Linked DNA regions of Drosophila melanogaster. The protein of the gene in region 3 interacts with the protein of the main gene of each other region in a pairwise test. Each region holds a gene or a part of one and is shown on either strand. Other genes may lie near its edges.

What was found.
Region 1: the proteins of Adi1 (region 3) and alc interact in a two-hybrid assay, tested with the Drosophila melanogaster proteins (one large-scale study listed by BioGRID).
Region 2: the proteins of Adi1 (region 3) and TwdlD interact in a two-hybrid assay, tested with the Drosophila melanogaster proteins (one large-scale study listed by BioGRID).

Annotation. Positions count from the first base shown.
Region 1 is NT_033778.4:9,134,798-9,139,778, reverse strand, and holds alc (alicorn), read left to right. Parts: upstream 1-1,845; 5' UTR 1,846-2,179; coding exon 2,180-2,827; intron 2,828-3,783; coding exon 3,784-4,014; intron 4,015-4,073; coding exon 4,074-4,220; 3' UTR 4,221-4,404; downstream 4,405-4,981. Other genes in the region: Hydr1 (alpha/beta hydrolase 1), read right to left, coding at 4,726-4,981.
Region 2 is NT_033777.3:26,638,259-26,641,681, reverse strand, and holds TwdlD (TweedleD), read right to left. Parts: upstream 1,658-3,423; 5' UTR 1,608-1,657; coding exon 1,593-1,607; intron 1,528-1,592; coding exon 772-1,527; 3' UTR 628-771; downstream 1-627.
Region 3 is NT_037436.4:10,661,759-10,665,062, forward strand, and holds Adi1 (acireductone dioxygenase 1), read left to right. Parts: upstream 1-1,617; 5' UTR 1,618-1,687; coding exon 1,688-1,810; intron 1,811-1,891; coding exon 1,892-1,969; intron 1,970-2,031; coding exon 2,032-2,159; intron 2,160-2,316; coding exon 2,317-2,410; intron 2,411-2,469; coding exon 2,470-2,607; 3' UTR 2,608-2,677; downstream 2,678-3,304. Other genes in the region: CG8003 (uncharacterized protein), read left to right, coding at 1-23, 92-865, 926-1,168. UniProt on the Drosophila melanogaster protein: Catalyzes 2 different reactions between oxygen and the acireductone 1,2-dihydroxy-3-keto-5-methylthiopentene (DHK-MTPene) depending upon the metal bound in the active site.

The DNA.
Region 1 (4,981 bases), on a different chromosome or scaffold from region 3:
TTATCGTATCTGCTCCAGGTGGAGTGGCCATCTTGGAGCTTCATACTTGTTTTTTTTTTTCACCGATGGAGGCTCTTTGTGCTTCATCCGGAGGGGAGTATGTGTGAAGAGTAGGCTGATCAAACAGGCTTTGGGAAAACGGCAACTAAGTGGCAAATGCGACGCAGTTTCAACTCGAATCTAAATATGTAAGTATACACATACGTATGTACATATGTAGGTGTTGCCGCATACATATTATCAATTAGCAGTTCAGAACAGTTCACTGGCTAAGCAGATCGCTGATAACGTGGTCGAGAATCGGCGCAAACACGCGCCGCCCTCGGGAGCCATGGGAAATAGTTAAGTTGTTTGGGACTCCGCCGGGCCTTCTGGGCTCCGATCAATGGGTTAGTCGGACGTGGCCAGATAAGCGGGCTGCGGACCTTGAAGAGCACCAAATGCAAAGTGAACCGAGACTAATAACCGGGCGAGGTCAACCCATTGTAGCCAACCATCCAACTGACCTACCTTAAATGCTTAGTTCACTCGACTTCGAAAGGGACGTGACTCCTGGGGCTTCACTCCAACTCCAGTTGCTGCGCTTGCTCTGTTTTTTTTTAGTGCACTCAAACGAAAAAAACTCGATCACCTGCAGTCGCGAGGAGAGAACTGTGAACCGTTTTGCACAATGTCTGCGATCGCACTGAAAACGAAACAAGGCACGGCGTCGGCATCGAGTGTTTTTAGTTTTAATCAATTTTAAATGCGAAGGCGTCGTGTTTTGCCGCTGTGTGAGTGGCTACCACGCAGCACACACACATGGGAAAGCCGCTCGTGCACTGGAAGAAATGGCACGGATCTGAAATGGATTTAGGTACAAGTTTCCTATTCATTCAGTTAATATATCCAGAAAACATAAATACTAAATGCTACTGCTTAACTTTGGGTACATTAAATTCAATTCCTTGTAATGAAATAACTAGGTACATACGCATTGTTTGGAATGTGCTTGTTTCTCCAAGTGTACGTCATATGTGCGGTGTAGCAATGAGTAGTATTTCCAAGAGTTTCTTGGGGTGCTGCCATAGTCTGGAAAGCGTCTGGTTTCTACATCTGTGGTACACTGGTACCAAACATTTGTTTGTTTTGATCGCCGTTTCTTTTAGTTGCTTTCATACATATGTTTTGGACTGTTTTGGCTAAATCTGTGCGGTGGATACACTTACCTTCTACCTGGTGTTCATCGCAGATCAGCCTTGTCCTCGCCGCACTTCCGCCCTCGCTCTTTGTCACTCTTCTCGGTCTTGCCTAGTCTTCCTTTCCACTTTTGCCTTTTTATTGTGCTCCGATGCATGTTGATTGTCGTGGACTTTGCACCCTCAGTTTTCCGCTGTTGTAATGCTCGTTTTACGCATTTACAGGAATATAGTCGACTAGGAAAGCACTCTTTACCCGTTTAATCTGGATTTGTCAGCCGATAATTCAGTGGAATTAATTCTGTTGAATTCATAAATAAATAGATAAATTGTATGATTCATTAACCTATTTATTAATTGGTTGATAGCTTTGGGATAGTGATTAAACTCAAGCAATTCACCGATGCAATCTATTGTCTTGAAATGATAAGAATTGAAAGAATGTTGCTATGAATTTAAAAATCTTTAATGAGTGGCTGCCACTTTAATCTAATTCCACGTAATCTTAACTTTCTGAAGGTGCTGGAAACCCATGACACTTTAATTTTCAGAACATTCAACCTAACTATAAATTCAAATCGAGTGGCAGCTCCGATAACGGTCACAGCTGCTAAGACCAGGGCGGCACACTGTGTGCTGTCGCCCGATAACTTCTTTGTTTTGAACTCACGGGAAAGCAACCCTGCGTGTGCTCTCGCCAATTGGAACTGCGAATATACTGCCTGTGTATATATGTAAATGTTTATAATTAGCAATTTTTCTACGAAACAAACGATTAAATAATGCAGTTTTCTGCCTACTAAATGCCAAATACAACACACAGACTTCGAGCCACGAACGGTGATGTGATCAGAGTACTAGAGTAATCCAACGAAAAACGCGAGTCCATTTTAAAGCGAAGTATAAAGTGCCAAACAAAGGGAGCAGTCGAACCCAGTCCAAATCCAATCATTATACTCGGTCCGTGACCTGCCGACGAGCCAGCGAGTACGGCAATAAGCATGGGCAACGCCAGCTCCTCCGTGCACATGCAACGCGAGCGCCACAAGTCGACCGACTTGTCCACGCCGAGCTCTCCCGCACATTTCCGCGATTCGATTGGTGGAGGAGGAGCGGGACAGGGCGGGAGTGCTGGCGCAGCAGCTCTGGGCGCTGCAGCGGGGGCGGTGGGAGCTGCGGGGGGTGGAGGAGGAGGCGGCGGAGGCCAAGCTTTCTCGTTCGACAAAAAACATACGGCAGTCTTGAACGAGGGCTCGTCGCAAGAAGACGACGACCCGTACTACACGGGAACTGGAACTGGATCCACTAGACGAGGCACCGCACACGACGACGCGACATCAGCTGTTACCCGAGACCACTCCAGCATGGACAACAACGAGGAGGAGGAGGAGGCAGCGGTAGGAGCGGAGCCAGCGACTGGATCTCAGTTAACCGGCGATGAGGACGACATCCGGAAGACGGCACTGCCCACAGTTCTGCGGTGGGACGGCGGCGGCAAGAACGTCACCATCTCGGGCACATTCTCCGATTGGAAGCCCATGGCCATGGTGCGCAGCCATCAGAACTTCGTGACCATCATAGATCTGCCGGAGGGCGACCATCAGTACAAGTTCTGCGTGGACGGCGAGTGGAAGCACGATCCCAAGCTGGTCAGTTGGGCGGAAAATCAATATATGCAGCAGGCTATTCAGTGTTTTTGATTCGGGCGCCCGAATGACGCAGTTACCGATTTTCGCCCCGGGTTGTGTAATCGCCGTAAACAAAACGAAGTCTCCCAGTAATCGTAGTGGATTTCAATTGGGTTCAGAGATGCTCATCCGGCTTTAGCTTTTTTTTTGTTTTTTTTTTGAGGAACCCCGTTCAAATGCTTCGCAAATAACAAATGCAATTAAAGTTACAAGTTTAAGGGAGCAAACTGCGATAAAACCCATTTGTAGATTACTACTAAATCCGGTTGGATGTCGCTAGTTTTGTGGACACAGTTTATCTAAGTGACCATTGAACATTGCTATCAGGCGAACAATTTGAACTATAGAAAAGATTTAAGGGAATAGTAACGTTTTCTTAGATAAAATATTTTTCTGGATAACAAAGTTCAGGACTGTGATAGAATATATGACCTACTTCGCAATGTTAAAATAGTTGCAGAATTGCATGAAGACGAAAAGCAATCAGAAATGAATTACTAAATGCACAGACTTTAAATCTTTATTAAGAATAGTTCACGAAGCTCACGTATTTAAACCATAATGGTTTTAATGACTAATAAATAATGTAGTTTATCTGACATTTAAATTAGTAAGCAAAACGAAAGCAAACCATTGAACAAATTTTTGTATTATATATATATGTAGCAAGCCAAATTGTTGTATATAATTCAAAATTGCTCGAAACAAGTAGCAACAGTACGTTATTAATTATAGAAAGCAGTCATTGCCCAGCCACATTTTCATGAAGTATTGCCCAATTTTTGTTTTATCGCAAACTCAGCTATCAAGTTTCATGAGTTTTATTGAACTCAACCCGAGGCCTGCAGATATTGTCCCAATTGCCCAAACTATTGTTACAGACAATTTGATTATAGCTTATCGGTTTGCTATTTTAGAAAAGCGTGGAGAACGCCGAGGGACAGAGAAATAACTTAGTGTCCGTGCGAGAATCCGATTTCGAGGTGTTCCAGGCCCTAGCCAAAGACAGCGAGAACGTGACCAACTATGCGGAGAAGGAGTACTCGCAGGAGGTGCCGCAGGTGAAGCCCTGGGAGAAGGTATCTGGCCCGCCCGTTCTGCCGCCCCATCTGCTCCAGGTCATCCTCAACAAGGATACACCGCTATCGGTGGGTATTGTCGCTGTCTCGAGAGCTACCGACCGTAACCTTACCCTATTCTGTTTCAGTGTGAACCCACTCTGCTGCCGGAACCCAACCACGTGATGCTTAACCACTTGTACGCCCTGTCTATCAAGGATGGCGTCATGGTCCTGAGTGCCACGCACAGGTATCGCAAGAAGTACGTCACCACGCTGCTGTACAAGCCCATTTAGGCAACTCGCAATTGGTATTTTAGCTGTAGGAACATGGTTTTTATGAGGGATACCACGTCCCGCTTGTCAAATTTACCTTATTATGAGTAAAAGTGTTTTAGTTTTCTCTCTATTAAGCGTTGTATTTTTATTAGTTATAAATATACGGAACTTGTAAAAATATAAGATTATTGCATTGTGTCATAATTTGTAATTTGTATTTGAATTTACTACGAATCGTACAGCTTATTTGCAATTTCAACCTGATATGTCACTAAAGTCACGATCTAAGAGTAATTTAAGCAACTATGCATATTGACTGACTGATAATTTGGTTCCCTGTTCGCTGTATATAAGTATAACAACACTTTGGATTTTGATCAACGTTTCATATCACATGTGTACAAGAGTCTTCGCCGACGGCAATCTATCGGAATACAAACATTCTCGTATATCTACGTGTTCAACTGGACAAAAACTGAACTAGACTAGCGGACCGACCGACCGACCGACCGACCGACCAGCTTCACATCAGCTTGACCTTGTGGTCCAACTGATCGGCGTCGATCTTCTTGGCGAACAGCACCGGTGACGAGGAGGCCAGCGCCACCGTCTGCTTGGCCAAGAATCGCTCGTGCATCTTGTTGGCCGTGTGCTGGAACTCGCCATCCTCGTCGAACAGCGCCTTGGTGAAGTACTCCGTGAAGAGGCGGCCCATGTACTGGTCTTTGGTGGACGGCCACCAGCCCTCGAGGAAGCCGATGTGCCCGCCACGAGCCGTA
Region 2 (3,423 bases), on a different chromosome or scaffold from region 3:
TGGTAGTTGATTATTAGCTTTGAAAACCTGAAGCGTACTTGTATACAATTAGCATGAAATTAAGCTTGCAAACTTGGGGACCACCAGCTAATATATATTGTACATAGCAAATGCTTTTCATATAGCATATACCCATAATAGTTTGGAAAGTTTCCTTGTACCTAGCACTCACCTAGTTTTCCCATCACTGAGAGACACCGATTACGAGCAGGCTTACAAAGAGTGGACGGATACTGTAACCGGGTCTAGACCGGGCCATTTTGCAACCACTTCATTTCGAATCTAATAACTCCAATTACAAATGGCGGATGGGATAAAACCATTGTGCATATGCCGGAGAATCCATGACTGTGCGGGTGCGGTTTCGTTTCAGTTCCCGGGAGGCAATATGAGTGGGTGTCATGTGGGTGGCTCAACTTGTTGCTGGACTTTATGACATGCCAGCCGCTTTATCCAGGCTATTATTTCTGGGATTTTATGTGAAAGGACAACGCACGAATGCGCAGACAGGATTTGCCCGGCAAAAAGAGAAACTCGCACAACGGAAAGGTTCGGTTCCGCAGCATGGAAATGGCCGAATCCTGCAATTAGGCTGCAAATGAGTTTTTCAGTTCACATCGGGAATTTGTCAGCAAAACAAATTTTATTCCTCTACATGGATACTTAAAAGCTAGTTAACTTGCACGTGATGGGAGTAGCTAGGTGTTTTCTTTTTTCGATGCGATATTCTGGGATAGGAAGCGTTACCGTTGAAATTTCACTTGAGACCATTTACTTGACGCGGAAACGACGCAGATTGGGTGGCAGGTAATCCTGGCCAGCCACCACATTGGCGGGCAGGTACTCCGAGCTGGGAGCAGCTGCAGCAACGGCTGGGATGGCAGCAGCCTGGGCTGGAGACGAGGCAAAGTTCAGGACAGGAGCACGACCCTCGTTGGAGATGCGAGACACGCCGGGCAATTGGTTGTACTGGTTCTGGATGGCCAGTTGGGCATTAGCCGCATCCTCTGGAGTGCGGTACTTGACGAAGTGCACCTCTGGTTTGTTGGTGGAGCTCGTCTTCAGGGCATTCAGTTGCTTAGCCAGGTTGGACACATCGGACTGTTTGGTGAGAACATAGATGGCGGTCTCCTGCTGAGCAGACTGCTTGGCCAACTGGAGGGCAGCGCGCTCGAAGCCCTGATTTTCGGGAGTGCGAATGAAGACGACGCGGAGGTTCTTTTTCAGGGAGTTGGCGATCTGCTGGTTGCTGGCACCCTCATCGTACTGTTCCTCGGGGGCGGCGTAGCTGTAGAACTCCTTCTGGAACTCCTCTACCAAAGGTGCAATCTGGGGAGCAACAGGTGCTTCAATGGGCTGGGAGAGGACTGCTTCGCCACTCTGCACGGGCAGCACCTGCGACGGAAGTTCTCCAATCACCTGACCACTTCCGGGCAGGAAGGACAGACCCTCATCGGCATGTGCCACGGGTTGGTAGTTGTAGCCCAGTTTATCGGCACTGCAGCTCACGGCCAACAGACAGAGGACCTGCATGATGTTAAATATTAGTTTTATACTGTATTATTCGATTCCCTTATTTTCTAGACACTTACGATAAAAGCACGCATGGTGACTGGAAGCTGTGTACAAATGGAGCTGACAGGAGGAACTAATGCTGGGAGTTCAGCACAATCTGGCTTTTATAGTTGAAGACGCGGCACTGCATTTACCCCTCCCACGAAATAGACCCAGTTTTTGGCCAAGGTAGATAGAGAAATCCCCTGTTAACGAACGACCTTGCTGTCGCAGCGCTGTTGATTTGATTTCGATGCTATTCGACAGTCATTAAAATGCCCCACCGTTTAAATATGCAAGCGTATTCCCCGACCTAGGCCTATCGCCAGCCCGCGATCGTTTGTCTTGGCTTTGATTTTAATGCACTCTGCGACGGTTATAAATATGCATGGGATATCAGGGACTGTGATTGCAAATGCGGCGGACGCCAACGACACTGCTACATTATCTAATTGATTTGTGTTGGCTACGACAGGCCATAAAAAACACAATCTGGATGCTGCAGAGACGGACCAAACGGCAGCCACTGTGTTGAAATGCTCGGAAAATAAACAGCTACTGGCTTTGGCGATAATATCTGGTGGCTGGCGGTCACTGCTCACTGGATGGGATGCCAGTTGCCAGTTGCCAGTTACCAGTCGGCAGTTGGTGCTCCGGGTTGGCCAGCTTAAGCTGGTAATTATAATTTTCATAATTTTCCACGAGCTCGCGTTATCCACTGCGCAGCACGAGTCGAAAACGTCAATCTTTTTCGACGGTTCAGTTAATGAAGTTCTTTAACTAATTTAAACTTTTTCGGCATCGTTTGATGGCCACGGCGAAATAAGAATTTAAATTGTGGAATAGCATCTGTGTGGGTCGACGGGTCACCAAAGATACAAGAAAGAAATTAATAATTACAATCTTCGTTTGACAGTTCAGCTGGTATAAGGATAATAATCTTACTATAAGGGGATGACTTTTATCTGTATCTGCTTAATAGTATTAAGAATTTAAGCTGTGATATACCATATAGTTGTTGTGATTTCAGTTCCCAATGGATGCTTAAATTATGGGACTACCATTGATCGCACTACCATGATGACTCCACCCAGCGTTTGGCTGGCTATTAGCCGGGCCCGCTGCACAGCAAAACTCATACCAAAGTTGGTAGGCAAAAACAAAAAAAGAAAAAACAGCGCCAAAAATGCGCCTAATTTGGAGATGGCAAGCCAAACAAGCCAAGAGCCCCAAAAACGATGAAAAGATTGGAAAACACGCAAACTTGGCAGCTGCTGCTGCTGCTGTTGCTGGATGGAATCCGAGACTTGGACCTTGGACACACCTGTCCCAAAATTGCAGCAAGTCATGAGCTGCCTCCGGCCAGGATTCAGGATTAAAGCGCTTGGCTTCGTGTTCCCCAGTGTTTGGAGATACCGCGAAATAAAAAAAGCCACCTGAAGGGCAGTGCTTGTGGGTTGGCGGAGGATTGGGGAGCATTGTTGGAGAGGCAGCTTTGACGTGACTGGCAAAGTTTTTGGCAGGCGCCGCTAACGAGCGAAGCTCGTCCTCCGCCGCCCAGGATCTCATGTTGCTCAAAAATGCTTAAACTAAAACTTGCTCAACAGATTTGCGCTGGAAACTAGGAAAGAGAACAGCGGAGGGATCCTTTTTACGGCTGCACTTCGCCGTGTCATATGGCGCTGGCACTCGGGTGTAAGTGTGTGTTTGACCTTTGACACTAAAACAATTTGCAAAGCGAAATGATGTCAGCCCCAGTGTCCTGTCATCTCCGACCCCTTCTCCACATCACTGTTGTTTGCCGACTAGTGGCGTAATTTAGTTGAAACATTCTTAAAGTACCGCCTGTCGTAGAATCCTGCGTCCTGG
Region 3 (3,304 bases):
CGGTGCAGCTGCTCCTGGACATGGTGGGTACATCTGCCAGGCAACCACCGCTTGGGCTCTAAACATGAAATAACCGCCTTTTCTTCCACAGGGTGCCGACATAAACCTCAATCAGCATGGAGCTGATTATACGCCACTGCATTTCGCCGCTCTATCGGGCAATACACATGTGTGCCGGCTTCTTTTGGATGCTGGCATCAAGCCGGGTAGCATCAATAGTGTCAACAGGACCGCCGCCCAAATGGCCGCCTTTGTGGGCAACCACGCCTGCGTGGAGACCATCAACAACTATGTGACCCAGTCGAGTTTGGAGTACTACACCCAAGTGCATGGCCAGCAGACGGAGCCGCATATACCACCCAGCTTACTCAAATCGTTCCACGCCTTTGTCACCGAAATCAACCTGCATCCCGTGAGGATTGCCCTGAATGTGCAGTCCTTGGGATTGCTTAGGATCCTGTCCAGTCTGCGCAAGACGCTGGCTTTGATGTGCGAAAAGGAGATGCAGAAGTCGCATGACCTCAACGAGCTGCTGGCCTTCAAGTTCCATTATCAGGGCTGGATTTTGGCCGAACTAATACGCTGCGAGGAGCAATTCAAGGCGCAGCACAAGGAGAAAAGTGGCGAGGAGGCGGGCGATGCGAACAAGAACGATTTCATCGAGATGTTTGTGAAGCGGGTGCTCAAGGAGAACAAGCTGGGCCAGCTGGACTATGTGGAATACACGTTGCGCGAATGTGCCAGGGAGTTTCCCGTGAGAGAGTGCACCATCTTCCGGCAAATCGCAACGCAATTTGGCGCCAAGGATGCCCCACCAGCACTGACTGTCCTGCGAAATGCCATCAATGGGATGAGGTGGATTACGGTGGGTATCATGATCTCATAATCAAATGATTCTTTTCTAATCTGGAAAACTAATTTTCAGGACGAGGGCAACTACTGCAGCACCTGCGGCGCCGAGAAACCGGACAAGAAGTGCTCCAAGTGCAAGGCGGTGCAGTATTGCGATCGCGAATGCCAGCGGCTGCATTGGTTCATGCACAAGAAGAACTGTGCCCGCCTCCTGGCCCAATCCCAAGCCCAAGCCCAAGCCCAGCCGCAATCGCAAGCGAAGGGAGCCATTGACACGGCCGAGCTGCGCGAGGAACTGTCCAAACTGACTGCGTAATCCTGTGCTCCTTTGTAACGCCAATAAATGTAACATAAAACCAGAAACCTAGCATTTTCGCGTACTAAAAGATTGTTAGTACCAAACTGTCAGATGTCTACACAAATTAAACTAGATAATAGTAACGAAAGGCAAAATTGCACGCTACAAATTCAATTAAAGTCAAAACATACAACAAACTGCCCAAAAATCGTATATCTATCGTAAAATAATAAAGAGTAATAATGGAACAAAAAAAAAATAGAAAAATAACTCCTTTTGAAGGTTATTAAAATTATGGTTATTTTACGTTTTAAATCGAACATTTCAAAAATGAAGTTTTTAAAATAGCAGTATTTCGAACACAAAACTAACAGCATTCATTTTCGAATGTTAAGTTAACAGCACTAGCGGCATTCGCCTGAGTGTCTGTTATCGATTTCGAAAATTCGAAAACGAACAGCTGATGCCAGTTGAATTTTTCTTGTTTAATCTATTTGTTGCTCGTTGCTCGTGAAAACCCGTTTAAAACAGTCCAAAATGGTGCAGGTTTGGTATATGGATACGGAGGAAACCGATCAGCGCCTGGAGCACCACCGCAATCCGCCTGCCTACTTGGAACTGGATGATCTGTACCAGAAGACCGGCGTGGAATACTTTAAGGCAAGTGAAAAGCGAAATTGCGACTTTAAAAACCTTAAGTGACCTTGGGGGCGAGCTTATCTTGATCATTCACATTTGCAGATCAATGCGGACGAGTACCAGAGCGATAATACCCTCACGGAACTGAGGGCAAAACGTGGCTACACCTACGATGATGAGGCAAGATCGATGTTTTCTTGAAAAACATCTACCGAACTTTGGTAAACTTCGAATTATTACAGATCACATGCTCGGAAAAGTGCCTTCCAGACTATGCCAACAAGTTGAAAGCCTTTTTCACCGAACACCTGCACACGGATGAGGAAATTCGCCTGATATTGGAGGGATCCGGTTACTTTGATGTTCGCGAGTAAGTTTTGTTTATTTACACCGCATTTTATAGTATCCCAGCCACATTTTCCCAATTAAATAGTTCAAGCATTCATATTCTTACTGATATTGTTTTTGCTCACACTAATAACATTTTTGGAATTGTTTTAAAACGGAAAACTATTTATTCTTTATAGCAATGAGGACAACTGGTTGCGCATTAAGGTTGTCAAGGGAGATCTGATCATTATACCAGCTGGCATATATCACCGCTTTACTTTGGATACCAATGTAAGTTATTTTGACAATCTTATATACAAACTTAAACTATTTGTATTGTTTTTTCTTAGAACTTTATCAGAACTCGTCGCTATTTTGTGGGCGAACCTGTCTGGGCTCCACACAATCGTCCTGCTGATGAAATGGACTGTCGCAAATCGTACATCAAGCATCAGTCGGAAAACTTTGTGCAATTCAATAAGGTTTAAAAACCTTAAATCTTATCTTTTACCATCAAGTTTGATATTTTGAAATATAAAATCGCTGTGTATAATCAATAGTTTCAATAGTTTTTTGTTTAACTTACAATTTTCGCTGATTAACGTAGTTTTGATATAGAATTCGAAGTCTATTTTCTATATCAATAAACCCCGCCAAAAACTTGATTTCGAATTTTATCTCTTAGTTGGTTGCTGCATATGCTAAACGTACTTTCGAACTCGAATCTCAGAGAGTACAATTCGCGGTATGACCGTACCAGCGCCGAAGAGAAAAAACAGCGCAAGTATATAATCCCAAGCGCCAGCGAAAGTATCGAGCCAACATCGATGCGCGTGCCATCGCTAGGAAGGAAAACAAAACAAACACTTTTTTACTTTTTCATCTCTCGGATCGTTCGGACGTGCTACGCGGTCTCGTCTGTGTGTGTGAGGTAGTGTGCGTGAGCGGAGCGGCGAAAAAGCACAATTGAAATTAAATCGAGTCGTTATCTGTGGATTCGGCGGATACAATACAATATCGTATCGTTATCTATTTACAAACAAATCGACGTGGATTAATAAAATGCCGCACACGAATGCTTAAAGCGGCCTATCTGTGTGTGTGTACGTGTGTGTCTATGTCTTTGTGTGTTTCACTCTCTCTTTGAAATAGTAAACAAATTGCGTATAAAGTTTACAGCAAAGT